Linked DNA regions of Tamandua tetradactyla. The main gene of each other region encodes a partner of the protein of the gene in region 2 in a complex. Links are inferred from orthologs where the notes say so. Each region holds a gene or a part of one and is shown on either strand. Other genes may lie near its edges.

Region 1 (6,932 bases), on a different chromosome or scaffold from region 2:
ATTCTAGGGCTGGCTGCTGTAATCCTTGGCTTCTACCTACCTCCCGTGGCCCCCAGACTCTGAAGTCCCAGTTGCCTCACATTTAGTTTTTAAAGTTCCCTTCTTAAAGGATATGTCAGTAGAAATATTTGGAAAGGATTATCACTAAATCAACTTTGCCATTCATAAAAATCATGGCTGTGGGAGAATCGAGGATCATTTATGGTTAATAACAATATAAATCCTCTGATACCATAAGAATTTATAGAAGGTGTAATGAACTGCTTAAAGGAGTCCAGGAAGAGGTCAAAGAGAAGGTGGGATCTGACTTAGTCCTTTAAGATTGGGCAAAAATAATCAAGGTATACGTGGAGAGACCACACAATAGTAATGGCAGCTCATTAGGCTTCATAGATGACCATATTCTTTGACACATATACTGATTCAAGTGCATCTTTTTCTTACATTGCGTCCACCCTTTAGAAGCGTGAACTAGCATTACTGCACAAAGTGTGGTCTCCAGACTGGCAGCCACTGTCCACGATGAGGGCAGTACTGGCGCTGAGAGAAATTATTTTAGAAATCTTTATAGCAATTTGACAAAATTATTTTCTGTCTTTTGACTTTAACAATAAAAAAATCGGGGGTGGTGTTTTGTATGTCTTTTTATTTAGCTCTTATTGTTGTTTCAGTTTCCTAGGCTGCTTATGCAAATGCCATGGTTTGGCTTAAACAATAGGAATTTATTTGCTCGCAGTTTTGGGTCCAGAAAAATGTCCAGATTGGGTCACCATCAAGGTGATGCTTTGTCTCCAAAGACTGGCATTCTAGGGCTGGCTGCTGGTGATCCTGTTTTCCCTGTTAACCCAGCAAGAAGTTCTTAGAAGGGCCACGGCAAGTCACAGGACCGCATCTCCTGGTCTCTCTGGGTTCTGGTTTAGCATCTTGCTTCCTGCGCTTTCTCTCGCTCATGTTTGAATTAATTTTGCCTATAAAGGACTCCAGTAATAAGATAAAGACCCATCCTGGTTGAGGTGGGGTGCAGCCATAACTGAGGTAACCTCATCAAAAGGTTCTTCTTATAATGGATTTAACACCCACAGGAATAGATTAAAATTATGAGCATGTTTTTTTTTTCTGGGGTACATACTGCTTCAAACCACCACAATCATATTTTACAAAAGTATCAGTCTTTGATGGATTGAAAACATACATATACGGAAAACTCATCCTTCCTAGGAAAATTTGAGAAACATTAGACAGAAGCCCAAAAACAGCCCAAAAGCATAAAGGAAGTGAATGGGGTCAGCAGGAAGGAAAGGCTCAAATTGAATGAATCGTCCCATATGGAGCCATGAATCAAACTGAAGTCTGTCATAATTCTCAGCCCTTCTAAGAACATCTTGCTGGATTAATTGCCATCTCTCTCCAACAGTATCCATAGATGACAATTTACTCTGAGACCAGTTGTTCCAAGGCTCACTGGTACCCACATGTCTTGAGGAGAATGCTCACTAATCTTTCCTTAAGTTAGGAAAAAGGGTCTGTCTTCAACTTAAAGGAGCATGGTGTGTCTCGACATGTCAAAGGAAAGATTAAAACATCAAGCCAATTCTTTCATTTCCCAATCATATCTTCCCCAAAAGGTTACCTTCTTCCGGTAAAGCAGCAAAAATCAATCATACTCATTACTTCCTGTTGGAATAGTTTTATCAGGTATTTTCCCACCTTAAATTTTGTTGTGCCTCATTTTGAAGTTCCAGTAATAATTTTAAAAAAATTAAAATTAAATTAAAAAATTGATAATTTAGAAAAAGCATTTTGTCTAACAACAAAAACTCATAATGGAAACTATTTTGGCAAGAATTTCTTTTTTTCTCTCTCTCCTCTATCTCCTCCTTCTTAATCTTATTATTAAAAGCGGTAGTGTTGTTAAAGAAAATAGGTATCAAGGACATATTATATAAAGAGGAACTTTACATAATGTTATTTCATTCAAGTCCCACAACATACCTATAAAGCAGGAATTATGGTTCCTATTTTAATGATAGGAAACTGAGACCCAGAGAAGTTAGGTAACTAGCATAAGGTTGCAAAGTCAGTAAATGATATAAGCAGGGTAGGAAGTACATATTTGATATAAAGTCCATGAAAACTCTTAATATACTACCTACTAAAATTACAGGGTTAGAATATATGTGCAAAAGACAGCTGTTAATCTCAGTAACTCTGGGGTATTTCCTTCAGTTAAATGATTTTTAGATTTTGTGCAGAGTGAGGCTCTTAGAATGCCAGTCATCTGGAAATATGTCTCAATTGACATGCATTTCCACTATGCTTTATTTTAAAAATTAGAAAATTTAGATACTTTCTTTTGCTGAAAGAGTTGCCCTGTACAGCCTCTGTTGGATACACAAGGAAGTCGGACATTTTTCTCTTTCTGGAGTGTCCTTGAGGATCTGCAGAACTAGTTCAAAGGGCTGCCTAATCAACTTTCTAGATATGACATTTAGGCAAATAACTTCCTATCTCTGTGTTTAAGCTTTCTCATTTGTAAATTGAAATAATGATATCTGTCTCCCAGGGCTGTTCTAAGAGTAAATTTTAATTTATCTCTAATTTATACTAGAAATAAAATGCTTAGCACCATGTAAAGCAAAGAATAAATGCTCAACAAATATTTGCAAATTTTAAGTTTTTACTATAAGTAGTTTTGGAGAGTGTTGGAAAGGGCTACTGAGATTTTCTTTAAAAATAAAAAATAATTTTAAAAAAAGGAACACAAAACCCACAATATAAAACAAGCCCACAGGATAGCAGGTATAAATAGTCTTGGACAACAGAATTGCTAAAATTGTACAAAGAAGTTGGTTCTCAAAGTCCCTCTCATTTTCATTCTTATTCTCTAGACTTCCACTATGTATATGCAATTGAGAAATCATGTCTTTCAAAATAGTTATTAATAAAAAGTAGCTTCATATTCACCCATTGTAAATAGGCACACAAGCGAATAGATACAAAAACTGTCAAAAGCTGCATAAGAAATCATTGCACAGATAACCTTTACCGCAAATGACCACTGCCATCAGCACTCATTTGCCTTTCTCTGACTCCCTGCAGGGAAAGAATGACAGGACATTTGACGCTAGTTCTTTCCTTGGTCTTCATCTGATCCCTGTGAGATAGTCAATGCCATCGTATTCTCATTTTAAGAGATTATCCTTTAAGAAAACAATTTTGAAGCCAGCATAGCCTGGGTTTGACTCTGCCTTCTTGCACTTACTATCTGCTTGCCTTGGACACGTTGTCTCACTTCTGTTAGCCTGTTTCCTGAAGTAAACTCAGGACAATATTCATTTTGTTGTTGTTGTGAGAACTAAACAAGTTAACAGTGTACCTGAGGCATCTATTAAGCACCTATAATGCAGCAGATGTCAGCAAGTGGTAGCCACACAACCACTTATTTTGAAAAGGAAGAAGTTGAGGAGTATAAATATTTAGGCAGATAATTACACGTGAAGCACTGCATCTCGGGTCCATCTGATTTCCACGCCCACATTCTTTATTGATTACCCCATAATGTAACTCTCTTTGATGAGGGGGATTGAGCAAGAAGCATGCGGAATTTCTCCATGACTTGAAGTGACATTTATACACTCCCTTATTCACTATTAGGCTATATTGCGATCAATTTTACTTCTCTGACAATTCGGGGGACGAAAAGTAATAAAAATATCCTCGCACTTCTCTGGTAACCTTTCCGTCTGAGCATGAGACTTGTAGGACCCATAGCATGAGCTTTGTAGATACAGGAAGGAGAACTCACCCAGTTCCAGCTCTGCCAACACGCGGAGCGCAGAAGCAGCGCCCTGCCCAGATGTTTATATTTTCCTCCCTCGGCCCCGCCCTCTGCCCACGCGGGGCTCCGGCCACGCCCCCTTGCGGGAGCTCCAGGGGCCCAGGGCTCCTAGTGCCTCAGTCAGCCCAGAGGGATTCCCTCCCCAGCCAATAGCGTCTGAGCAACGGGACTGCCCCTAACAAAAATGGCGCGGGAGGCCGCTGTGAGGGCAGGTTAATCTTAACACCCGAACCCGCCGCGGACCACCAAGATAGGGGTAGCGGCGCAGTCCTGACCATGGAGGAGGGCGGCAGCGGTGGCAGCGGTGGCAGCGACGGCAGCACCAGCGGGAGTGGCGGGGCGCAGCAGAGGGAACTGGAGCGCATGGCTGAGGTCCTGGTCACTGGGGAGCAGCTACGGTAAGGCGAGGGGTAGAGCGGACGTTCGCTGGGGCTTGCGGCTCGCTACTTGTGCGGGGCTCCCGGGCAACTGCGGACGCGTGGAATGGTCCCCGCTGCACCCTTGCCCAGGGCTGCGGCCCCGCGCGCGGCGGACACACGACTGTCGCGCGGGTGGTCCGGGCTGCGCTGTGCGACGCTGCTGCAGCCCGGCGCCCGGAGGACTCGCTGCCACCCTCCGCGTGTTCTCTCTCTTCCAGGGCACCTAGGCGCTGCCAGGCCTCCCGGCTCACAGCCCGGGCTGGCCCGCCCAAAGAGGACGGGGACCCGTGAGGGCCCCGAGCCTGACCCCAGCCCCCTTGCTCCTAGATAAAAGGAGCCAGCCTAGCGATCGCCTTCATTTAGATTGTCCTTTATGTTGGCAAGTCTCTGAGCCTCAGTTTTCTCATCAGTATAATGGGGGTGAACACCTCGCCTCACTTGAAGATTTATTTCGGGGGACTAAACCCAGAACATTGCTGAAACACTCCACCTATCACTTAATTGGCACATCGTCATTAATCATCGGTGGATTCCGCTCGGGGGCGTTGGAGGCACCTGGTGGTCCTGCCCTGCTACTGTGCCAGCCCCTTCAGGGCTCACGGTCTGGGCGCGGAGTCCGGCGGCGCGGGGCTGCTGCGGGCACCAGGACTTGCCGGCTCTCACCAGGCCCGGGAACAGGCAGTGCCCTCCAGCCCCGCCTCGCCATTCCCATCCCTTCTCGGTCCTTTTATGTTCCAGAATTGTGCTTATGATCTGACCGGTTCCGCTCTTCGTGCGGTCAAAAATCAGTTTGCCCGGGCGGGGGTGAGGAGGGGATGGGGTGCGGCGGCACCGGCTGGTTCTGCAGCGTCTGTCCGCCGGCTTCTGGACCCATCCGAGCAACCAGCGCGCCAGTTCCTTCTAGCTCTCGGTCGGAATCTCCCGGCTCATTTTGGTTTCTAGATGCTGTATTTTAGAACCTCAGGGACGGAGAATCTTGCAGAAGTCCCAAAGGCTGGGTCACCACCCTGCTTGCAGCACTTAGATTGAGGAAGTAAATATTGTAAGTCAGAGTAAACGGAGTTAAACGTGACGAAAGGCAAATTGTGCCCCCGCTATTCTTTGTTAACCTTTTTTTTTTAAGCGAATGGTCACTATTAAAGGGAATAGAATCTTTTTTTCCTTCATCGAGAGTATTCTCTATTTAAAAAAAAACACTTTTGATGTAATCTGAAACACTTTCCATTGCTTTTACAGACACTAAATTACAAAATGCCAATATTTATCCTTCAAGATGCAGCTTACATGCCTTTTCCTTGGAGTCCTTGAGTGCTTAGGACCCATCTGCACTGGTACAATTTTGAGAGCCACTTGGCATGTTGATAAAAAAGGCAGGGGTCTTGCTCTCACTCAAAAGTTAAACCGACCTGGCTTTGAATTTTTGCATAGCCACTTTACAGCCAAGAGTCAGCATTAAGGGGTTTTGACAAGGACTTTAAGCTAGACTGAATCCCTGCTTCGCCTCTTTCACTAGTGTGCCACCTTGAGTAAGGTAAACCACAAATAATGGGTAGTAATGGAACTTACTGTGCTGTTATGAGGGTTGGGTGAGCTAGCCTTTACGGTAAGTGTAGCCTGGTGTACAGCAAGCAACATGCCAGCTTGTGCCAGTTGTAGCTCTGTGACTTTGAACAAGTTAGTTCACTTCTCTGAGCCTCTGTTTCCTCATCTGTAAAATGGCAATGAAAACAAGTTCTTCATGGAAGTTGTGAGCGTTTGGCCCTGGGCTTCATGTGAGTATTCAATAAATGATTGCTGGAATTAATTAGTATTGTCTCTGTGAGTCACTGGATGTGGCTTCCAGCAGAGCAAGATCTGGCAGGAAGGATTGGGTAGTGGTGACAAGCACTGGATACAGACTTAGGCTACCTGGGGTCTTATTCTATCTTAAACTATTAGTTGCATGACTTGGGGCAATTTACTTAACCTCTGGGTGCCTCAGTTTCCTTTTCTGTAGAAAGGGGTTTCTAATGACGCCTCTTTTGAAATTTTGTGAGTTTAAAGGAGATGCTAATTATAAAGGGCTCAGTAAATGTTTGCCATTTAATTTTGGAAGATTTTAATCACTGCTATTGATATCTCAACAGTCTTAGTACTGTACTTTAGCGTATAGTAATTACTCAATAAATATTTGAATGAATAGTGTATGTAATCCACAATACTATTCTATTAGTAAGGAGTAATAAAATATTCCGAATTTAAGGATTTAAGTGGCCGTATGCTCTGGCTTTCTGATTACTGGAGGAACCCCTCAGAAAAAGATGGGATTGTGGCCAATCACTGTTGTCGCTGTCATAGCACATTTCTTACATCCTTGGCTGGCCTCTCAGAGTCTGATGGTGGGGACTTGGTGATGGATCAGCCTCCTGCTTCTGATTACTTCGTACCCACAGATCTCTGCCATCTCTTGATGACTGCTTTCTGGCTCATCAGAGATGAGGCAAAGAGTGGAAAGAGAAAACCAAGATCTGTTCTTTGAAATAAAAATGTTGACTTTCAGGCCCAGCTGTCTGAGGTTTTTCCTATTTAATTTTTTTTTTAAGCTTTGTTATCTTGAGCAAGTCAGTTAACCTCTCTAGACTATAGCATCCTTACCTGCAAAATGGGATTAATTATATCCTTTCATGTACAGTTTT
Region 2 (7,652 bases):
CACCCACCAGGTGGCCGGCTCTGTCTTCATCGCCTGCCTTCTGGAAGCTTATGGTCCATGTCTGTAGCTGCTCTGACTCGCCAGAGCCAATCGTTAAATCTTCAGGAACTTTGTGAGCTGGTCCACTAAACACAGCCATTAATAAAAATTAAATTATACAAACTTCCAATTAAATTATATTAACAATAAAGGTAACAAATACTCAAAACTCATCACTTCCTAATTATTTCATTAATTTTTTTGAATCACATACGTTCTTCGGGTTATTTACACTTACTGTATCTGTATGATGGAAACACAATACAATGATGTGCTACTGCACATCTGTTCTCAACTCTTCATCCAGTGACATCCGTAAGTAGCTTGAAATCTGCCACTGGGAATACTTACACGGTGCAAATCAGCAAATGCTCGATAATTGTTTTGTTGATTATCTAGGCTTAAGAAAGGGATGGAGAAAATATTAATAATGCATGTTTGGGGTGTACCGGTAGTTCGGTGGTAGAATTCTAGCTTGCTATGCAGGTGACCCAGGTTTGGCTCCCCACCCATGCACCAGAAAAGATTAAAAAAAAAAAAAAAAAAAGCATGTTAAACTCCAGAGTGTATGAAGTCTGTAGTAATTACACTGTGTATAGCAGTGTTTAAGTTTCCATCTGCTAAAACAGATTCCCTGCAATGGCTTAACAGGAATTTATTGGCTCACTGTTTCCGAGACTGGAAGGCTCACTTCCTCCCTTGTCAGTATTTTCTGGCTGGCTAGAAACCTTTGGGGGTTCCTCAGCTTATGTCTCACATGGCAACACACATGGCCGTGTCTTCTTTCTCTTTGGGGTTCTGATGACTTCCAGCTTCTGGGAGCTCCTGGTGGCTTCTTCTTCTGTGTCTGATTTCCTTCTGAGGACTTCAGCCATATGGGATGAAGGCCCATCCTCATCAGTTTGGCCACAACTTTCAGTGGTCCTGTGTACAAATGGGTTCCCGCCCACAGGATCAGGGGCTGGGACCGGAACTTGCCTTTTGTGGGGAACATGATTCAATCCCCAACAACCACCAAAAGTTTAAGGAAATATTCTTCCAGTATTGGAAAGCTATTATCCAATTCAGCAAAAAATCATTCATGTCACTGACAAAGGAGTGAAGGCCCAACATATTTCCTGATTGTTTCACTTTCCTTTTGTTAATATAAAAGGAAATACCGGCCAACATTCATGTCAGAACTACACTCATTCATCAGTTTCAACCATTTTAAGTGGGCTATGCTATATCAAGGAGAGCATTCTGTGAGAATCAATTGGCTCTATGGAATTCACAATAAAGAGCACTGTATATTTTATTATTATTGGAAATTGTGTACTACACATCCTTTATAGCAATAAAATTTATAATACACATAATATATATGTACCCAGGATGGACCACATAATTTGCAGGACCCAATGTTCAAAACGTGGAGCCCCTTGTTCAAATATCATCAAGAATTTCAAGACAGAGCACTGTGACTTCACAGGTTCAAGCCCATGAAGCTGACCCTGTAGATGAATATATGTAGAGAGCCGCTTTCCGGGTTTGGCCTAGTGGACACGCTGCAGCCTGCTCTAGAGTTCCCCCCGCCCATCGAGTGAGCCAAGATGGCGCTCACATCCTGCTTCCGCAAATGACGCACACGCCCACCAACCCTATCTTCCAATCACCTCTGTATACGTGGCACTAACCTATTGGGTTTGGGCACAGTATATAAGAGGTTACCCGGACGGGGTGGGTGGAGACGACCCACAGGGAGCCGTACCTGACGGCCGCACAGAGGTTGTCTCCCCGCGGGGTGCTTAGGCCCGCGTGGAACCTGTAACAGAGAATGCAAGCTTAACTCCAGTAAAGGTCTGTGCTCACAACCGTTGCGTGCCTCGAACCCGTGTTTATCACTCGAGTCGGTTTGCCTGCGCCTGTCTCTTTCTCCCCTCCTGTTCCCTTCGCCGGCCGGGGATCAGAAGCCGAACGAGATGGCTGCGGACAAATATATGCACCCCCCCCCACACACACACACATGAAAGAATGATCAGTGGCCAAACCTGAGTGTCTGAAGCATTGCTGCATCAGACAAGGGAAATAAGCTAATATATTAAAATCCTGGCTCCATCACTTACCAACTATATGACTCAATCTCTCTGTATCTCAGACTACTAATGTATAAAATGGGAACAATCCATCCTGCCTCTTAAGTAATGTTTAAGAATTACAGTTCAGCAATTATGAACTGATCACATGTACCAGATAATGTTGTAGGCATTTTACAGGTATTAGCATTTAACCCCTATGACACTGTCTACAGAAGTAGGTACCATAATCATTCTTGTTTTACACATAAAGAAGTAGGCACATAGAAATTATTTGTGCCCAGGTTCAAACAGTAAGTGTTGGATTTAAGTAGCAGATTTAAGCTGACTCCAAGCCTCTTCCAAACTTTATCCTACAATGCCTACCAAAATGCCTAATACATTTTAAGTGCTTAATAAATAAAGAGCTCCTTGTAAACTAAAAAGAGATCTACAAATGCACTGATTACTGCTGTCATAAAACCATCTTTGTTAGTTAAAAAAACAGGGACTTGCTTCATTTTAAGAGTGGCAAAAATCTCCCATTTCTGGTGGGAGTGAAAATTGGCACAACTCTTAGTGAGGGCAATTTGGCACTTTCCATTGAAACTACATGTGCATGTACCTCTGATCCTGCAATCACATTTCTGGGAAATTATCTTGGTACGCCCGCCCAGGAACAAAATGATATATGTACAAGGGCATTCACTGCAGCTTCAGTTGTAAGAGCAAAAAACTGGAAACAACACAACATCTATCAATAGAAGATGGAAAATAAATTACAGTGTATTCACATAATGGAATACTATGCAGCGACAAACAAGGAAGCTTTCTATATACTGGCATGGAAACATTTTCAAGATAAAAAGTGCAGAACAATGGATATAGTTAGAAAGGGGTAAAATAAAAATATTTATTTGTATTTGCTGATATTTGCATAAAGATACTCTAGAAGGTACATAAGAAACCAAAAGAATAAATAGTAAAGGGACATGAGTGAGTGCGTGAATTTCACTGATAAATGATTTTTATTTTGATATTCCTACAGTGAATACATTCTTTTTCACTTAATTTTTATTGTAGTTATATATATACATATATGTATATAAATTTGCTATTTTAGCCTTTTTTAAGTGTACAAATCAGTGATATTAATTATTTACAAGTTGACCAACCATCGTCACCGTCCATACCAAAACTTTATCACTCCAAACAGAACTCTGCACCCATTAAGCAATAACGCCCCTTCTCCCACAACCAACCCCTGGTAACCTCTAATCTACTTTCTGTCTCCACGAATTTGCTTATTTCTAGATAGATATCTCATATAAGATATTTCACAAAAGTGAACACATGCAGTATTTATGTCCGGCTGTTTCACTTAGCATCGTGTTTTCACCAAAGTTCATCCATCTCATAGCACGTATCAAAACTTCATTCCTTTTGACCGCTGAATAATATCCCATTGCATGTATACACGGTGACTCTAATACCTACTCAGAAATTATTAATGATTAAAAAGTAGTTAAGGGGCGGTGCAACGGCGGCTCAGCAGGCAGAATTCTCACTTGCCAAGCCGGAGACCAGAGTTCAATTCCCGGAGCCTGCCCATGCCCCCAAAAAGAAAAATGTCGCTAAGAGGGTGCAAGGATAGTTTAGCGGTAGAATTCTCGCCTGCCATGAAGGAGACCCGATTGGATTCCGGCCCATGCACTTCCCAAAAAAGAAAAAAAAAAAAAAAATCCAACAAATGGTGCTGCAATAACGGGAGGCTCACGTGGAAAAAGAATGAAATGTGACCCCCACAATACAGCATACAAAAAAATAATAATAATTAAGTGCCATTTTTGTTACTGAATTTTTTGGGGGGTTGGATGGCGGGATGTGCACTGGCCGGATCCGAACGGGGTCTCCCGCGTGGGAGGCAAGCATTGTACCCCTGAACCACCTCCGCACCCCTTGCCATTGAATTCTGGGAAGTTCTTTAAAACGATAACGTTGCTTTGAAATAATTTGAGTAGCTCATTTAATTAAGAACTGGTTATAAGTTCTCAGAATGATCTTTGAGCTAAAAAATTTTTGAAAAGCGAGAAAAATCTAACTTAAAACGTTCTCAAATGCATATTACATTTAAAGAAGAGAATTCATGGAGCCATAAGCAGAGCGCGGGCGAAAATTCTGAGACGCCAGGCTCGGAATTATCCAGAGCACAGCCTCGAACCTCAGTTTACAGCCGCTTGGACCCGCCCCGCAGTACCCAAGAGAACAGACTCGGCACAGCCACATCCCCGGTGCAGAAGGGAATTTTAGCAGTGATACACCGGATGTTTGAGTGGAAGTGACGAAGTCAACTCACGACCGATTGGCTCTCCCGAGCGGACCTCAGACTCCTTTTGCCTGTCACTGGCCCCCTGGTTTGTCTATTTGAAGAATCTCCGCCCCCCGGAGAAGCCGGCTCCTGAGGCGTCATACCTCCTTCATTACTATTGGACTGTGTTCCAGCCTATCTTCTTTTTCCGTCTGTCGATTGGTCATCGGGGCTGGGGGCCCGCCCTCACTCCCGCCCTCACTCCCGCCCGGCTTAGAGGACAGCGGGGAAAGCGGGTGGTGGGATTGGGGGTCTGAAACGGCGGTACCGGCGCTGGCGGCGGCAGCTGAGGACTTGACCGAAGCCGCGCGGTGAGTCTGGGGTCTGGCACCGACTCTTTTAACGTGGCGGAATGTCCGGACTCACGGCCAGTCTGGTCCGTATGGGGTCCCGGGAAGCCGCTTGTCGGGAACGTGGGGACTCCTTAGTACCGGCACCTCGGATCTGGGCGCCACCTGGGCCCTTGACCGCCACCCGGCGAGGCACGCCCACCTCCCGCGCGACCCCCGGCACCCTCTAGCCCGCCTGACTCCCAGGCACCCGCGAGGCCTGCTCATCAGCTCCGGTGCGGCAGAAGGCCCTTGGGGGCTCTTTGCCCTGTGGTCTCAGACACGCCTTCTGAGCCACCTACAAATCCCGGACCCCCTGCCTCGGAGAGGACGCCGTCAGTGACAGCCCCTTGTTCTCCACCGTAGAGACTTCTCAGGGACTCAGTCCCCGGGATTGAGCTCGGTTCCATGCTGGGGTTTCATTCTCTTTGCCTTTCCCACGTCAAGACACTTGACTTCGAGTAGTTTACGACTGAATTCGACCCGGAGCAGATGGCCTGTGGGCCTTAGACCGTATGAAGATACACTGGTCCTTTCTTGAGAATGGGGAATCGTTTGCCAGCCGCCCACCCCTCCCCACCACCGCCACACACTCACGCACACGCAAACGGTGTAGTACTTTTCTCATGAGGGATCCTTGGAATTTCTCTTCTGTAAAAGGTGCTAATTTCCTTTTGCAGTCTTCTTGGCACTGGAGTATTTAAAAGCTTTCAAAGGCAGTTATTCCCTGTTTTTTCCTCTGCGTGTCACAAATGCATTCAGAAATAAAATTTTTTGAGTAATTGGTTTTATAATATAATTTGAACGTAACTAAGATAGGTAAATATGTGTTATTCCCGTAGGAGTCTGTCAGGAGTCCCACTATGACCACTTTATTGTGGTTGCCTGATTGTCTTTATTTACCACTGGATCTTAAGCTCACTGAAGAATGAGTGAATGATCTCAAGAATTAATCAGTCTCTTTTAGTTCACATCTGAGAAGCTAGTGTTCTATAGAACCAAACTATCTAGTACAATAGCCACCAGCCACAGGCGACTACCAAGCACTTAAAATGTGGTTAGTCTAAATAGAGATTGCTCTAATTGTAGAATACAGGCTAGATTTTGGCGACAGTACAGAATAGAATGGAACCTGCATCAGTAATCTTTTATAATGATAGCATGTTGAACTGAGATTTTGGATGTATTGGGTTAAATTAAATATTAAAATTAATTTCATTGGTTTCTTTTCACTTTTTTTTTGAAATATGGCTACTAGGAAATTTAGAATTATTTTTGTGGATCGTATTTTATTTCTGTTGGCCAGCACTGCTATAGAATAATAATCTCCCTTTTTAGATTAAACTCCTTGAGGAAGGGGGCTGGCTTACTCATTGTTTTATTCTCTCCTTTCCTCCCCACTTCTAGTACCTGGTGCTGTGCCAGGTATATAGTGGTAATAATGATAAAAATAGCTGACACTTATTGAGAAATCACTGTGTGTCTGACCCCATTTTAACTGCTTTTTTTTTTAACCTGTATTAATTCGCTTGATCCTTACATCAACCCTTTGAATTAGGTACTATTATCCTCATATTGTAAATGAGGAAACAGCTACAGAAATTTTAAGTATCTTCCTCTAGGTATATAATCTTGGAAGTAGATTTAAACCCAAGTAGTCTGGCTCCATGGCACACACTTTGACCCACTGTGTTATGCTGCTACTCACTGTTGGGTGAATGTTTTCTAGGCTTTCTACATTTTCCTCAGTGAAGTCTCCCAGCTCTTAGAATCCCCTACCTGACCTGGGGCCGGGGGGAGTGGAGATCTATGTTGAGGAGCCTAGGGCCAATAAATTCATTCCCATAGTTCATATTCAGAATACTAAAGAAAGCTTCTCTCCAAAGAACCTTAGGGCAAAATGCTTGGAACGGGACCTGCGGCGGCCACCACAGCTACCACCACCTCCAGTAATGTGAGCGTTCTGCAGCAGTTTGCCAGTGGCCTGAAGAGCCGCAATGAGGAGACCAGGGCCAAAGCTGCCAAGGAGCTCCAGCACTACGTTACCATGGAGCTCCGAGAGGTTGGGGGCTTCTGTGATTTGGGACCAGTCATTGTGGGGTGTTTGGGCTAAATTACCATCACTGTTTTAGATGCTTTTTGACAGCTAAGGAGGATTTGGAAATGTAGAGATTCTGTTTTGGAAAAACGACCAACTTGTAATGTCCATAGACTATACAGGTTCCTTTGCAGTGGTTTCACATGTCTGTGGCATTTCTTGTGTTTGTGGTAACATTTTTGGAGTCAGAGTAGAGGCTGTCTTTTTTAATTTATTGTCTTTCCTGCCACGTACCAGACCCTCATTTCTTTCTTCCTGATTATAGTGGCTGGGGAAGTTGATAACCTGGAGCTATCTAAGTAAATACTCTACATGAAGTCAGCAACAGTGTCTTGTTCATCCTTGTACGCCAAGCACTAGGTAGAACCTAGGACAAGATGTTTCCTACCATAAAGTTGATAATTAATAAAGATTTAGTAAATGAACAGATCCAATTATGAGTTCCATTGCTGCAGTTTAAAGCTGTAAAAATGGGCAGTAACTTTGTCTTCTTTGGTTTAAACTGTACCTGCTAAAAACCTCTCAGGTCCTAATCTTTGGAAGGCCCCCAACCCAAACCAGGAAGACATTAGAAATTGTTCTGAGCACATCTTCTTTTGCAGATGAGTCAAGAGGAGTCCACTCGCTTCTATGATCAGCTGAACCATCACATTTTTGAATTGGTCTCCAGCTCAGATGCCAATGAGAGGAAAGGTGGCATCTTGGCCATAGGTAAGCATGTCGTCTCTGATAACAATAACAGCTAGGAATACAGCCCCACTTAT
Region 3 (7,274 bases), on a different chromosome or scaffold from region 2:
AAATGCACTACTGAAATGATAAAAAATGGTCTCTCCTAGAAGGGAAGTGGCTAAGGGAAGCATTTGGATTTCAAAATAGATGTGAGCATGCAAAATAGAATAATGATATATTAGCAAATTTCAGGATCTTTCACAAATTAGGTAGTTGTCTAAACAAAACTGAAAGCAACATTTACCAATAAATTGTACAATCTATGACAATAAAGTTCCTAAACTAGGTTAAAAGGTTTCAATTAACAATTTTTAATTAAGGTACACTATTTATGAGCACTAATACTATGTTTCAGTACCAGCACCCAGTACGAAGCTTTAGTACCAAAACCAAAGAAATTCTCCCAGACCTCAATTTGGCAAGGTAAGCCAAGCCATCATTACATATTGTAATCTAATCCAAAAACTGCTACTCTTTAGCTCCAACCAACTATGTCTTTTCTGAAGTTATTCCTAAAGTTTAATTTCTCATGAACTTTCACGTTAGATCCATAAGCCTTCTTTTAACAAGGAAATGTGTGTCAGAGTAACAATTTGTTTAAACAATAGTGTCACTATATAATGAATCTAATTCAGATTACTTTTTATATTCTAAATTTCCTTAGAATTTAGGAATACAGTCCTCATATAACCTTTCACACTTAACTGTATATTGCCTTTGCCTTCAGTTTCAATTGACTGTGTATATTTTACTACGAACTGAAGTAAATATTGTTAGGGCAAATAGAAACAGCATTTTCTGCACAGTTTATATTACCCTGGAAATATCTATGGACATTGTAGGAGTTTATAAACTGCTTAAGGAATATACCATTTTAAATAGTAAAAACAGAGTTATCTGTATACTTAAGTGAAACTGCAGCAAACTAATAGCATCAAATCAAATTCCTACATAATTTTGTACAACCATAATCTTGTACAACCCAGAATTCTGGCACTAATCAGAGAACTCACTATATATAAAACCTCGGCAAACTCAGCTTAAAACACAGTCATTACTTATAGTCAGCACCACATCCTAGCAAGTTTTTAACGCACAAATAAAATCTACCTAATAAGTACTCTATGCACTTCCATCTAAAAAACATACATTCATAGATAAATTAAATCACTAACACTACATCTGTTACAGGACTGGATTGCCAAGTTTCTGCTCTTGAAGAAATTACGTTCATTTTGTTAGGAAGTTTATAAGGAAATCTTTTTCTACATATATTTTATTCATATTTCTCATATGTGTGTTATATACCACATACAGTCAAGTTTCTAAACTGTCATACAAAAGTCAAAAACTTTACATCTCTACACTAATTCTCAAAACCTATCTGCTGGAAAAAATGTTCTGATTTAGTACACTGACGATCTAATTAATCCCCATTTCTATTATTTAAGCCCTACTATGTTGTATTTTAGAAACTCTTCTGCCTGTAAAGGATATATGTTTACAGAAACCTAATCCTCGAACTTTCAGAATAAAATATCGTTACAGAAATGCACTCTTATAGTTCAAAGAAACTAATCCTACAGTTTCTAAGGGTAATCTTACATTATGCTAAACAAAATAAAAGATAATTCATTATTCTTTAAATATAGATATGAGACTCAACAATAATCCCACCTCTAACAAATTCTGTAGATAAGAATAATTATGTCAAGTACAACAAAGGGTAAAAAAGCAAAAACTTTTATTTCATATAGAATGTTTACAACGACTTTTTTTTTTTAATAACTTCCTAGGGTGTTTTTTCAGATCTCAAAACGGAAAGTGATTTGTGTACCTGAATCAGATTACACTAAGCTATAGTAGGTATGAAATAGGAATGTTGGAATCAGTAAACGAAATCGAGTTTACTGTGGAAAAGAAAAATCATGTATATTACTAATAAATTGTCAACAAGACATCGTCGAATAAACTCCAGTACGTCGACTGGTAATAGAAATACTGACTTGTAGCAGGATTAGTCCCTTAAAAATATAACCGGGGTTTACCCAGTTCAGAAGGTGTAAACAAACCCATCTCCACTGCAGAAGGTAAACAATGAACCTGCATCAGGGTAAGGGGGCAGTCTTTGCCAACTACTGTCCCAGCGGCCGAGAAAGGAAAGCAGGAGGGAATACAGTTTATACACTTAGCAGCGAGGATCCGCTCCAGGACTCAATACCGAGTTATCAACACTGGGGTCCCCCAAGGCGGTGGGCAAAGAGAAAAGCAGTCACGCAATCAGCAAGCACTGAGAAGGTCCAGTTTCTGATCCGGGGGACCGGCAGGGCAGGATGTGGTCGCTCTTCCCTCAGACATCCTCTTGCAACCTAAATAACAACTCTACCTCCCTTCGGCCGCCCCCAGGATTCAACTGTACGATCTCTGGGATAGGGGTAAAACGCTCCGGGGCGTTCAGGGAATCTAAAGGGTCACCGGCCCGCCGAGTCCCTCTGGGGGCTCCCAGCAACCGCAGCACCCGAGGCCGGGAGGAGGGCGAGGGGCAAGGGAAGTAGCACCAAGAAGGGGGATGGGGACGGTCCGGAGAGGCGGCCCCGGGCTCGGTTCCCGCGGGCCGGCAGGCGGGGCTCCGGCTCTGCCCCCGCACCCGCCGGTCCCGAACGGGAGCCCGCCCCTGCCCCGGCCCCGGCCCCGGCCCCGGCCCCGGCCCCTGCCCCCGGCCCCGACTCCTCCCCACCAGCACGCCCTCGCGGGAGCCCGAGGCGCCGTGAGTTACCTCGCGTCAGATCCAGCGGGACATTCTCTTCGCCGCTGTCATTCCGCCCTGCGAGAAACACAGACACACAACCCACTTAGGATTCGCTCGCAGGCCAGCGGCGGCAGCCTTGGATACAGCCAGCGCCCCGGTTCGCTCCCTCCACCCAGGACCAGGGGGAGGCAAGTGCCAGGGGTAGCGGGCGCCGAACGGCATGCGGCGAGGGCTGCAGCAGGCTTACCTCGTATTCGAAGGTTCTTAAGCGAGCGGCCGCGGCCGATCGCCGCCATATTGACGGGTTTCAGTCACAACACCGGAAACCTCGCCCAATCGCGCGAGAACCCCTTCCCCTCCCCGCGCGCCGTGCCCGCCCTCCCCCTCCCCGCCCCGGCTGCATCTCCTCCGCCCCTTGCTCGCCTGAGCGTCTTTGGGTGGCGCGTGGCCGGTGGCCCCGCGTCTCGGAGCAGCTCTCAGCGCCCACCCGGGATGAGGAGAGGGCGGTGCCGGTCCGGCAATTCGAGGGCGCGTGTTGCTAAGAAGAGGCATTTCCCACGAGGGGAATCCCATTGATGGGAATATGCAGCGTGGAGAATACTTTCCCCCCAGCCGCCGCGGAACCGTACGGTCAAAACCGAGCAGGAGTTGGAGGAGGTTGGGAGGCGGCCGACTGGCCACCTGCTGAAAGCATCCTGCCGGATTCTGTTGCCTTCGAGCCTGGGATAGACAATCTCGCCCCTTTATTCTTCATTTAAAACGGTGTTTCTCAGAAACACTGCATACAGTTTTAACCTCACTTAAATCGCTCCCGAGAGTCGCTTTCCTCTAACCAAGTTAACGTGCAACAAAGTTTGTTTTTCCCTTTCGCTCTGACCATCGTGCGAGCATTCAAAACCATACTCAGGGCTTCTCCGAGTCGGAATCATTGGATGGAGGTCTTGTTTTTGACTGCCTAGCGTAGGGCGTGAGGCAGTGGCGAAGGAGCCGGGAGAGGAGGGTGGTCGTCTCCGGCGGTGGGATTGTTCCCGGGCGCGCGGTAGCGCCAGCAGGCCGGGGGGAGGGCGTTTCCTCTCTTTCTACATCCTAGGAGAGGTTGCGGAGCCTTGTGCCCGGGTTTACTGTCTGTGTAGCTTCTAGAGCAGTGGCTACTGTGGATGCGTATTGACATTGTTATACATAAACCTAATAGTTATTAACCGTTGGGCTATTTAATGGTAGAAACTGCTTTAGCTATCCAATATATATGCAGATAACCCTTGATCCCGCAACTTTCTTTCAAACTGAATTCACTTTTGAAAGAGGCATTTTCTTGCCTCCTGTTCCTCAACTGTTTTTCTTTCTACTCCATGAGACTGGAAGTTAATTGAGGTGGAGACCTTAGCCACCTCTCTTTTCCCAGTTCCCAGCCTGTGTTCATTAAACATGTTGGATGAGTAGATGCCCTGGATTTCCTCCTTGTTCCAATGCTTTTCTTGCTTTAAAATCCAATGTGGGAGATGGATTTTGCAGTTGTTTATAATAATGGAAAATTGGAAACAAATGACTAAATGTAGGGGATTGGTTATGTAAATTTCGGCAGGCTTTAAGTGATGTAGTAGGAAATACTGTGTATGATGTTAAATCAAGAAAGAGATTACAAAGATATAAGTTACGATTTTTATAAACGTTCAAAATACATATAAGTATATTTCATAATATACAATTACATATATATACCGAAAAATATGAGAAATTATATACCAAAATGTCCATTGATTCCCCCCACCCACCCGCAATTGTGAAATTTCACATGCGTTTTTAGTCCTTGTTTATCTCTATCTTTGAAGTGTTCTGTAATTAATATATATCTCTTGTACAATAAACAAAAATTTTAAAAAGAAAAAAGCGGCATAGAGGAGCATCAGGAAAATAAAACAGGATCCCTGCTTCCTTAAGAAACCCTCTGTCTGTGCAGTCCGATATTGCATTCAGATATCTGCAGTTCATGTGCACTTAAAAGATGCAACACAATTACCATACTTCAAAAGAAATGCCTCCTGACAGTACCAGAAGTTTCAGTAACAGAAAACTTGCCCCCTCTTTTAGACTTTGCAAGTCCTTGTGCAAATTACTCTAGTTACTGCATTAGGCAGTAAAACTTGAGATCTGACCAGAATATTAAAAATGTTATATTTCTTCCTTCCATGTATCACATTTCACCACTTAAAAAAAAAATGGATCTGTATCCATGGAAATTCAATTGTTCCAATTTTCAATCAGCCCTTTTTATCTGATCTTTTATATCTATTGTAAATTAACTTCTTCCTAATACAATTTAAATTCATTCTCTCAGTCTTTCATGAAAGTAGAGTACAACTGATCCACTTTTTTATTAAAGTACTTGAGATTCAGGATTTGAGAGCCTGAATCCAGTAGGTTTTCATCTTTATAACTGTATGTTCCTATTTATTCAATCACCCCTTTCTTCATTTACTTCATCTGTTAGGGCAGAAAAAAAAGTATCTTCTTTCTTCAATCTGACAATGAAACTAGTTTTTCCTGTTAACTATTTCAGTCATTTGAGTGGGTAAGTAAGGTCTTCACATTTGTTCTTAAAGTGAAAAGAGATGCCCAACAAGAAAGCAGTTTAGAGAACACATCTCTTTTAGTAAGGAATACAATTAACAATATTGTTTTTGCCTTTTAAACAATAGCAAGCACAACATTATTGATCCTAGTCTGCTGGTTGTTTTAATCCCTAAATTATTTTCTGTGTTACTGAGAATAGTTAGCTATTCCTCTTTTTGAAACTTGTTTTTCTTATTTTAGCCCACACTATGTCTTACTTATTTTGTTTGCCTCTTACTACTTCTCCAATTTTCTGTGTCATTTTGATTCTGATCTGGTCATTAAGAAAGTTACTTCCTCTTCTTAGTTATCATTTCCCAACCAGGTTTTGTGTACAGTGTCAATGAATGTTTTTCTCATAACATTAGTCATTGATAAAAAAAAAAAAAAAAAGAAATTGTATGAAAGTAGGTCTAAGATCCCCCCACTAAAAGATAAACTGATTCCAAAGATATGATGACTCTACTAATAATCACTCTCTGGGGTCTATTGTCTATCCTTTTGGGCACAGGATAATTTACATTATAAACCATACAATATCAGTTTCAGATACACTTGTAATGTTGAACAGAAACAAAAGCCTTACCGAAATCTTAGTTCCCTTTAATCTCTTTGTCTTGTTATTTAGGACATATAAAGATAAAGCAAGTTGAAAACCGCAAAATTTAGTCATCTATTTCTTGGTAACTTCTCTACATAATTAAGCCACACATTTGAGATCTAGATAAAGGCCATGAAAATGACAGTGAATGGATTAAATTAAACAAATCTTATAATCCTACACAGGGTTGATTATGAAGTTTCAGCCTTGCTCACAGCAGAAAGTAACCTCCCAGTATTAGTCATTTAAATTTTAATCTCTGTCCCAAAAGTTCTTTTAAATTTTAGTTTTTAAAATTCTGTAAGGTATAAAGGTCGTCTATGCATACAATTTTAAATGAAGAATATACTTATGTTTGTGAAAAAGAAAGATGCAGAAATATCCAAAAAGTAAAATCCTCAAAGGAATGCACTAAAATTTTAACATGGATTATTTCTAGTGTTTTTTATCCTTCTTTTCCTTGTATTAATGGTTCTAAAGCAAATTTGTATTACTTACCAATATAGTTTTTTTTCCTTAGGAAAACTATTTTAGGGATTTTTTTTTTTGACATTACTAAACTACAATTACAAACATTTGATTTTAATAATCTGCTAACCAGTGGACCTGTCAGACTTGTTTGTACATCTCATTACTAAAAAAGGAACATTTGAGCATGTACCCCAATACATGTACATCTATTTTCTTTATAAAGCAGAACATACAACATAAAGATTAAATTTAAATGGTAAAAAATAATTTTGGATTTTGCTATATTAATGGTAGAACTAAACAGCAATAGGACTGAATATACTTCCTAATTTTTTAATTTTTTGTTAAATAATTTATGAGCTAGTAATTCAGAGGACCAGTTTAAAGAGCTTATTTGGATTTGGGCTTTAGTAGCTGATATCTCACAAAATACAAGGTTAAAAATGGAAACTAAGCAGTTTCTAAATTCTAACACTGGTTTTTCAGTGCCATCCATCAGTTTTAAAAAAAGGGCCGTTGATCTACTTTGGCAAGTAAATGTCTGTATTCTCTTGTCAGTTTTCCTTGTAAACTGGAAATGTAAGATTCATAAAGTTTTAGCAAATGGTTTCAAAACCCACTGAGACACTTCATCTGGAAGATTTTTAAATAAACGAAAAAATGCTGCATACATAAAATTTAGATGTGCACATATTAAGGGTTTTATAGGTGACTAATAATTTTAATGTTTTCAGAAAAAAATCACAAAACTGGAAACATTTCAAATTTTCTGTTTTTTTAATACTCTCTTCGTAGCACAAAATTCTTTTTGAAAAGTAGTAAATTTCTTGGTTACCGTTATACCTTAAAGGAAAAGATTAGATTTAATTTTTAAAAGAGATGTCTAATACATAACATGCTACTAGAAGCTA
Region 4 (8,008 bases), on a different chromosome or scaffold from region 2:
AAGAAATATCTTTCCCTGTCTTCGTAGATGGACAGGTGAGAGAGCTCTCATTCAGTCTATCCACACAATGATTTTAGAGAATAGCTCGAGGTGGACGTGCAGGGACCTTCTGATACTTTTGCATGTATGTTGTCTTGGGCATATGAATGTGGCCCTAGGAAATCCCCCACTTACATGGTTCCGAATATCCCTTCTTCTCTAGGAATTTCCTCGCGGTCAGGGGCACTGCCCTGTGTGTCCCACAGCAGCAGTCCCCTGCCCAGGCAGCGCAGCTTGCCTGCTCACCCATAGTGTTCTGCCCGGTGAGCCTCCTTCCACATGCAGGACAAGTTCTGGGACAGCGAGTCTCTCAGGCCACCCCCAGACAGACTGGCCCAGACACACCTGCTCCCAGGGTGTCCAGGAGGTCAGACTGCTCCCTCTGAGGCTGGGACCGGGGCACTGGCAGCCTGGGCAGCTCTGTGCTGAGCTGGTGAGGGGTGGGGGGCGGGCCAGCCAGGGTACCATGGGGTTCTACCAATTTCAGTACCTGTTTTCTTGATTTGGTGCTCACCCTGTTTTTGAGGCCCTTTAACCGTCTTCTGGAGCTTTGAGAAAGACGTTTCTGCCAGTTCTTTTTGGTTTTCGAAGCTTCTCTGTTGGGGGGGCGAGCCCTGAAGCATCTCACTCCGCCGTCTTGTTCGGGTGGGGCCTCTCTTAACACGCTATCTGCAATGGGCACATGTCCATCTTCTTTGCTCCACCTGCAGGGTCCTGGGGGAGCAAGGAGGGCGATCTTGGAGTTTGTGACCTGGGAAGGACACTTGTTTTCATCCTGCTCCACAAAGAATTTCCAAGGGCTGTGGACAGCGGGGTCAGATCCAGGAATGACTTGGAGGTGGACTAACTCATCTGTCCAGACTGATTGGCTAGAGGGTCCTCACTGGACCAACAGGGAATGTGACCCAGACACATTCCCCCCTCCCTCCCTCTGCTCTGCTTTCCACCTTGCTCTACATTCTAGGTACCCCAAACAGGTGCTTTGTCATCCCGGACAACACAACCCCATGTGGAGAACAGCCTCCCAAGAGGGGAGGCAAGGGCTGAGGTAAAGGTCACATTTCACTGTCTTCTCCCTGGAAAATTCTTCAGTATATGCAGGACTGAGGCTTTACTCCTGGTCTCTTGTCTTCATGCAACACGCCCAATTCCTTCTCTGCTCTGCCTTGCTGCTGTCCCTTTAAGGCTGGGACGGTGCAAAAATCCTCAATTCTGAAATAAGAAATGTGGCCAGTGAGTGAAGTTTATTGACTAAGGGGTCACTTTTCACCATAGTCCCCACGTGACTCAGAGGTCATCCCTTATTTAAAGCAGAATAACACTGTTGATTTCTGCTTATCAAAATAATACACGCTCATTGTAAGAAAAAAGTTATAAATAAAATAGAAAAGTATACTGTGGAGAGTGAAGATCACACATACATCTACCACCGTATTTTTAGAAGACGACGTGGAAAGTGAGAGAGACAGACTTGTCTTCTCGCAACCTCGCATTTCCCACTGGAGGTGATGCTCAGGTCCCATTACTTCCCTTTCCTTTCCCTTCTCACTTCACTGTCACCAAAACATCTGACCTGCAAGGGTGTGGTGGGGGACGGCTTGGGTTTTGCTAAAAACAGAATAATGATGCTCGGAGAAAAACAAAGTACTTTATATCTATTTTGGTTTCTTTTAAGCTAAGCACAGATTTCTCTGGAAGGGATGGAGCCGGCCGGTCTCTGTCTGTGGAAAACAATAGCTCAGCAAAGCACCCAATTTTCTGCAGTTGTCCGACCTTGGGTTTCACTCTTGATTCTTGATGATGACAAAGCACACTGAATGCCCTTGATTGATTTAGTGTAGAAACTGCAATATTGGAGGATGGAAAACCGGTGCTGCGTGCAAATGGAACACCTAGGCTGCAAGGGTCTTCCGTTTCGGGGAAAGATTAGGTCAGTTGGAGTGGGCCAGTAGCAGAGCTTCCAGGCTGTGAAAATCCAGTCCCCTTTGACCTTCGTCCACAAATTGCTCCTTACATTAGGTATTTAATCCCATCCTTTCTGCCCAGTACCCCCTCTCACCTTCCACCCCCCCTCCCATATTTACCCTTGACTTTTGTTCCATTTGATCAACACACTCAGGTTTTGATATTTGTCCTCTTGCCCACTTGGCTGTATCTCTGGCTTCAGGGTGTCTTTCATGTAGCAGGCAGAGTCTGAGTTTTAGGGCTGGAAGGCATCCTCCCGTCTGTCCTCACATGGTCAGGACACATCCCCCTCTCTGAGCAGGCAGGTCAAGGGCTATTCTGATATTTCAGATCAGAGCTGAGCCTAGAGGCCCCTCCCCTTCCCCAGTTCCCTCCACATGGGGCCCCTGCCCACCATTGGCAGGATGGTTTCTACACCCCTCTGCCTTGCCAACACTGCTGTCAAGTCTTATATAAAAGACTATTTCTTTCTAAGACTCAGTGGGGCAGGTGTCATGAACGACCCTCCCCCATTTCCATAGCTTGAATCAGACCAAGTTTCATGCATTTTTTTTTTTTCTTCAGATTTGTAAAACTTGTTGAAACTATTTTGTCTCGAACCTTTGCGGAAAGCAGATGTCTTTGCTTCTGAAGAATTGGAGACACTGGAAGTTGGAAAGGCAGACCCAAGTGGCCAAGCCAGGCCCTGCCATGGTGATGGGATCACCCAGCTGGGAAACATCAGCCCTTGGATTTTAGCCTGTTGTTGTCATAGGTGCTTCTGTGTTCCTGAAATGTGGAGCTGAAGGGTTGTCTGGGACTGGAATAGAATCATCCGGGACACGTGGAATGAGATTTCTTTCCAATGTCATGATGTGATGAAATGACTCAAGCTCATGTTTGAATCTGTAGGTTGGAGGCTGGGCTGCCAGGAGCCCCTTTCTGGGTTTTACACAAATGACAGGATTTTGTATCTGAAGGGTCCTTAGAGAGCACCTTCTTCAGGTTTCTTGTGTCACAGATGTGGAGACTTTGGGTGGAGACAGGCAGAGGCTCTGCGGAGTCTGCAGGTTTCAGTGGGTGGGCTGGAGACTCGGCCTGGGCACTCACCCCCTCCTGGCCTCTTGATTCTGGTGTCACATTGTACAGCAGGAGAAGAAGTGTTTTAGTCTGAAATTTTCAGTGTTTTCTTGCTCTGCTTTGCCAGGTGCTTTACAGTAAAAAAAAAAATTTTTTTTTGGTTCAAGTATTTATTGAGGGCCCACATGTATTTGGAGCATTGAAAGGGACCTTAGAGAGCAAATTGTCTAATGTCCCCAAATATGGCTGATTTAATCTATCATTGGGGTTATCTGATTGAAAAAATGCAGATCCCATTTCTCCAACCCCTCTTTCCCAGTTTAATAGGTTCAAGATAGAGCCAGGCATCCTTATTTTAAGTATTTTCCCAACTGCCAAGTTATGCACTATGGGCTCATCTCTTAACGTCACTTAGTGTGTCAGACAAGGTAAGTGGATTGATTCCCCAGGGTCACATGTTAACAGGTGGGTACACTGAGCCTCAGTCAGACTGAGGGGGTTTGCTCAGGTTTGGAATGGACAGGTTTAATCTGGGGCTCCACTGCAGCACAGGGTCCTGCTGGAGGGAGCTGCCTGAAGCCCAGAGGTGCCACCTTCCCTGCTGTCCTCAGCCTGAAGACAAGGCAGGGGCCAAAGTTATTTTGTTGCCTTCTGGTGAGAATAGGGTCTTCCCAAGTTCCTGCTCATGATTGTGGGGATACTCTCTGCCAAAACGTCGTAGCCCCCCTTTAAGGATTGGTGAATTTGCCCTGATTTCTAATGCGAGAACTGGGCTTAGTGGGGTATAATAATGAAACAAATGCAATGAGAGTAGATTGAGTTTGCAAATTTAAATGTTTGCTATGGGTAAGAACAATCTTGCCCTCATCTGCACTTCCACCGTTGAGAGGAGAACATGCCATAAGGATTTGGGGGCGGACAGCCACATTGTGTCAAAGTCCTAGGAAGCCACCAACAGGGTATCCTCGAGAGCCTAACCTGAGGTTTTCGGTTAAGAAAGCAGGAAGGGTTTGCTAGATTTCACTCTAGCCACAGAAAGATTATTGCTAATCCTTATTGAATGCTCACTATATACGAGGCATGAGTTAATTTTATCCTTCCAAGCGGGGATTACTATCCCAGTATTACAGTTGTGGACACAAAGACAGCTAGTTAAGGGATTGGCCAAGGTCACACAGATGGAAAGTGACTTGGCCAAGATTCGAATCCAGGTGTGTCGACTCAGAAGCAGAGAGGAAGACCGAGTGTCTGCTCCGTCCCGCTTTAACTAAAGGTATGTGTGTGTCTCCCTAGACACTAAGTTTATTGAAGGCAGGGACTGATCGCTGCATTCGGCTTTATATTCCCCACTGCACTTAATAACAGTTTCCTGCGCATTGTAAATAAAGAGTGTTTATTTACACTGAAATTGAGAAATAAAATAATCTGGGAGGACTGCCTCAACGCATAGAAATCCATAGCTTTTGGTCTTTGAAAAAACAAAAAACTGCTCAGAAAATATGGTGGAAAAAACAAAAAATGACCTATGAGGTATTTTTTTTTCAGTTGTTTTTCTCTGAAGAAAATTAAAAACAGAACCTGCTGGTCTGGGTACTGTGGCAGATACTAAGTACAAAAGATACTAATTTTCTTCTGAAATATTATGGATTTTTTTCCTGAAACTTATGTTGCCTTCTTTTCAAAATCTGGAAGAAACAAGGCGGTCGGTTCCTTTAATTACACAAGCATGTAACTTGGGTTGCAATAATGGATTTTCTTTTTTCAAAATTAATTAACTGAATCTGGTTTCATTTCTGGGAGTGACTGTAATACCATGCGGCGATAAATGAAGAGAGGCCGAATTGTGGTAACCCAGGCAACCAGGCAGGAAATTCTTGTCTTGCTGGATCTAGAGAACTAGAGAAGAATGCTTTAAGGAAGTTTGGCCCGTCAGGCACGCCATAGATTGCAATGCATTCTGGGTCTCGGCAACATGGCGTCCTCCTTGATGTGCTGATGAGAGGAGTTTCACTGTCGCTCCAAACCAGAGGGCAGAACTCTCCAAACCCAATAAGCCCACGTTACCGTTTTATCCGCGGGGCCGTGTCGCCCTTTCCTTAGGACTCGTTTTCAGGCAGGATTGAGCCAGGGTGCCGAGGGCCAGGACCAGCCAGGCCGCGCGGTCCCGGGGCTGAGGAACCGGCCGCAGGCCAGCACGATGGGCCGATCCTGGCTCTGGTTGCAGCAGCTTAGGCGAGTACGAGACCCTCAGGGCTGAGAGTGACTGGAGGAGACCTGAGGCGCCCAGAACTAATAGCTCTCGGCCGGAGATCTCGTCCAGTCGGCGAACCGGCACCAAGACCGGGGGGCTTGCCTGCCCTCCGATCTGCTGGGGCGGTGGAGGCCGAGAGCAGGGTCATCGTTAGGCCTGAAGTCTCACGCCTTTGACAGCTCGGCTCCCAGACGCTCGGAGGACGGTCATTCTAGAAGCAGCCAGTGGCTTGGGGTCTGAGGGTGTGTGAATTTGTGTGGAGCTCCTTGGGCTGCCCCGTTTGCCACCGGCTTTTCCTTCGACTTCCCGCGCAGAGTTAGAGATAGGGAGCTCAGACTTTTTGCTTGAGTAAGGGTCTCTGCATACTCTCCATTCATTTCTTTTTCTAACCCCCCCCTTTTTTTTTCTTCTTTCTTTTTCTTATTTCACCAATTCTGGTACACGCTGATTTTTAAGGCTGGAGGTTTTGGAGCGCTTACTGCCAAGGACTCCCCCACCCCCTCCTTCCCTGATGGAGTCCGAGATGCTGCAGTCGCCCCTTCTGGGACTCGGGGAGGAAGATGAAGCCGACCTTACAGACTGGAACTTGCCTTTGGCTTTTATGAAGAAGAGGCACTGTGAAAAAATCGAGGGCTCCAAATCTTTAGCACAGAGTTGGAGGATGAAGGACCGGGTAAGTAGGTCCTAACCGAGTCCCTTGGACCTTGGTAATTTTGCCAACGAGGAAAGTTCAGCCAGAGGCGTGTCCTTGGGAAAGCGCCGGTATTTTTTCCCAGCCACATGTTACAAGTCAACCAAAAAGCAAGAAGCATTTCCGACTCCAATGTTTGGTTGAAAATGGGAAAGATTGTTTTGGTTAGTAATTAGTGGGTAGCGTTAATTCAATTCAAACGAAGTTCTAATTCAGCTAGTAAAAGTTGAGCAGATTTGGAAATACAGTATTGTAAATATTTATACACTCTTTACTATATCTAGTGCTGTTGGATTTAGAGAAAAGACAATTTGGGATATAAACCAACACTTGGACCCATGTGGATAGTCTACTTTTGGGGGAATAGGGGGTGGGTTCCAAACTGGGTAATTACAGAAGTCTAATATAAAACAGTGTGCTAAGAAACAGGATTACTGTGAAATGTTCAGCTAGTAACAAATTAATGCAAGGTTGTTTTAAAGTTACAATGAGTTTCATTATAGTCCTCTCAAAAGTTTGTCTAGAATCTAGACTCATATGGTATTGTGGTTGTTGTACCATGGAAACAGAATTTCTTTAATAGTGGAATTTAGCATATGATGGTTGGAATTTGGGTCCAGGCGTTTTTAGTGGGTCTGGGCCCCCATGGTGCTGGAGTGTATTATTCATTGGCTCGCAAGCAGCTGCTAGGAAAGAAGAAAGCCATTTTTGTAGAATGCATAGTTAATCAACCACATGTTTCCTGGTCTTCAAAGCAAAAGGGTGGAACCATCTCATCTGTGCACACTTGTAATTTGGCCTTTTGTGATTTATTTTCTCCTTCAAGGGTGCCTTTATTATTTGAACTGAATTTCAGTGGTATAAAAAGGGGAAGTTGGTGTTGCAATACAATATGGTTTGTTCTAGGCTCAGTACATGTTTACAGGAGGTTATTGTTTTTAATATCTGATGTTAAACATGTAAGATTACTCTATTGTAATTCAACCAGTGCTTCAGTTATTGATTTGGTTTATTTTTAAAAGATTAGGAAAACTTCTTTCATCCAAGAGTAGCTTAAAATGTACAATAAACGGTCATTAGGAGAAGAAGTCTGTTGTATAAACATCTTTAGTACTACTTACATAGTTTAAAGCTTTTGGGATTGTTGTTCATGTATGAAAAGAAATTTATCTTAAAGCAACTCTGTCTAATCTTTTTTTCCCCCACATTCTATTTGGAGGGCAATTTTATTTCCTTTGAAATGTGGTTCCTTTTACTACCTTAAACCCACGCTCAAATTGTTCAAAACTGATTGATGGATATATTTTGATATATATTAATTTGTGAATGCCGAGCATTCCCTAATAAGCTTGTCATAGATCATTAAGTAAAGAAAAGTTGTGAGAGTCTGAGTAACTATTGAGTTTGCCATTCAGAAAAGAACCAGGGGAGAAAGTTTGCTGTATCTGACCTTTGCAAATTGCTGAATAATGACGAAAATCAACAGCTAACAGTTTCTGTTACATTTGTGAGAGGTTTTAAAGAGTCCTTGAAGTCTCTTTCCTCTAGTCAAAAAACTCGAGGGGGTCTTTTCAATCCACTGGACTAGAATTAGAAGGTAGCATAAATGAACAAAGCAGGTCAGGTATGAGAATAATACTGGCATAAGTTCAAAGATAACATTTGGCTCAGTGTCTTGTAGATTTTCAGTGTCTGGTAGATTTTTTGGAGAATGGGAATGGAGGGTTCTGGAGAGCATATTCCTATCTAAAGAAGGCAGCTGGGCCTCAGCTAGAATTCTCTCTCGTGTGCATTATCTTTTTTTCCTTCCCACCCCTGCCCCCTTCCCTCTCCCCTTCCCTTCCTGCCCCCTATTTTCCTCCTCCCCGCTTCCCTCCTCCTTCCCCTTCCCCTTCCCTTATTTTTAAATATTGGAACTAAATGAGATATTACAAATAACTATGCAGTGCAACACTGCAGGCCAAACAAAACCACCTATGGACTGATTTTTTAAAATTAATTAA

Evidence for each region.
Region 1: the proteins of MTOR (region 2) and DEPTOR are in contact, whole or in part, in a cryo-EM structure (PDB 7PEC), measured with the Homo sapiens proteins. The link is inferred for Tamandua tetradactyla from reciprocal best matches to the Homo sapiens genes MTOR and DEPTOR. Residues at the interface, in NP_001373429.1 of Homo sapiens: Met304, Gly305, Phe306, His1494, Cys1498, Trp1501, Gln1525, Asp1527, Ser1528, Glu1530, Glu1531, Cys1534, Met1535, Ile1536, Arg1538, Arg1547, Gln1554, Leu1556, Leu1559, Gln1562, Cys1563, Lys1566, Arg1683, Leu1685, Asp1686, His1687, Lys1710, Ile1711, Phe1714, Gln1715; in NP_073620.2 of Homo sapiens: Arg54, His56, Leu57, Lys58, Thr59, Tyr60, Pro61, Val101, Arg116, Lys119, Asp121, Gly122, Thr123, Phe124, Lys131, Ala132, Arg135, Arg138, Lys142, Glu177, Gly178, Glu179, Glu185, Cys304, Asn305, Lys307, Gly335, Asp336, Ala337, Val338.
Region 3: the proteins of MTOR (region 2) and RICTOR are in contact, whole or in part, in a cryo-EM structure (PDB 6ZWM), measured with the Homo sapiens proteins. The link is inferred for Tamandua tetradactyla from reciprocal best matches to the Homo sapiens genes MTOR and RICTOR. Residues at the interface, in NP_001373429.1 of Homo sapiens: Arg1028, Asp1032, Lys1068, Leu1069, Asp1108, Asp1109, Tyr1110, Asp1150, Lys1187, Asn1196, Val1200, Gln1207, Asp1210, Val1211, Cys1214, Arg1215, Lys1218, Gly1219, Tyr1220, Thr1221, Leu1222, Ala1223, Glu1226, Glu1227, Asp1228, Leu1230, Ile1231, His1234, Arg1235, Arg1238; in NP_689969.2 of Homo sapiens: Leu204, Arg205, Gly206, Asn209, Arg245, Asp247, Val248, Glu249, Glu251, Arg252, Leu254, Thr258, Asp259, Phe260, His261, Tyr262, Arg263, His264, Ser265, Pro266, Asn306, Gly308, Ser311, Gly314, Val315, Cys317, Ile318, Pro319, Glu345, Ile347.
Region 4: the proteins of MTOR (region 2) and RPTOR are in contact, whole or in part, in a cryo-EM structure (PDB 6BCU), measured with the Homo sapiens proteins. The link is inferred for Tamandua tetradactyla from reciprocal best matches to the Homo sapiens genes MTOR and RPTOR. Residues at the interface, in NP_001373429.1 of Homo sapiens: His597, Thr600, Pro632, Val644, Ser645, Gln646, Thr647, Ala648, Val649, Ala653, His686, Ala688, Gln689, Glu691, Met721, Asn722, Pro723, Ala724, Phe725, Met727, Pro728, Phe729, Arg731, Lys732, Leu734, Ile735, Leu738, Thr739, His743, Tyr771; in NP_065812.1 of Homo sapiens: Phe278, Lys282, Cys283, Ser285, Leu286, Pro288, Gln380, Ala381, Asp383, Leu384, Asp387, Glu411, Gln412, Thr414, Ala415, Val418, Trp419, Thr421, Met422, Arg427, Asn428, Glu431, Gln432, Lys973, Ile974, Asp979, Leu980, Glu981, Ser982, Lys986.

What each region holds. Positions count from the first base shown.
Region 1 is NC_135332.1:164,301,593-164,308,524, forward strand, and holds the start of DEPTOR (DEP domain-containing mTOR-interacting protein), read left to right. Parts: upstream 1-3,922; 5' UTR 3,923-4,114; coding exon 4,115-4,236; intron 4,237-6,932. UniProt on the Homo sapiens protein: Negative regulator of the mTORC1 and mTORC2 complexes: inhibits the protein kinase activity of MTOR, thereby inactivating both complexes. DEPTOR inhibits mTORC1 and mTORC2 to induce autophagy.
Region 2 is NC_135328.1:214,143,989-214,151,640, forward strand, and holds the start of MTOR (serine/threonine-protein kinase mTOR), read left to right. Parts: upstream 1-4,652; 5' UTR 4,653-4,772; intron 4,773-6,676; 5' UTR 6,677-6,690; coding exon 6,691-6,852; intron 6,853-7,490; coding exon 7,491-7,599; intron 7,600-7,652. UniProt on the Homo sapiens protein: Serine/threonine protein kinase which is a central regulator of cellular metabolism, growth and survival in response to hormones, growth factors, nutrients, energy and stress signals.
Region 3 is NC_135335.1:89,140,774-89,148,047, forward strand, and holds the start of RICTOR (rapamycin-insensitive companion of mTOR), read right to left. Parts: upstream 3,004-7,274; 5' UTR 2,978-3,003; coding exon 2,929-2,977; intron 2,757-2,928; coding exon 2,709-2,756; intron 1-2,708. UniProt on the Homo sapiens protein: Component of the mechanistic target of rapamycin complex 2 (mTORC2), which transduces signals from growth factors to pathways involved in proliferation, cytoskeletal organization, lipogenesis and anabolic output.
Region 4 is NC_135332.1:72,769,555-72,777,562, forward strand, and holds the start of RPTOR (regulatory-associated protein of mTOR), read left to right. Parts: upstream 1-4,998; 5' UTR 4,999-5,556; exon of another isoform or gene 5,557-5,770; 5' UTR 5,771-5,825; coding exon 5,826-5,987; intron 5,988-8,008. UniProt on the Homo sapiens protein: Component of the mechanistic target of rapamycin complex 1 (mTORC1), an evolutionarily conserved central nutrient sensor that stimulates anabolic reactions and macromolecule biosynthesis to promote cellular biomass generation and growth.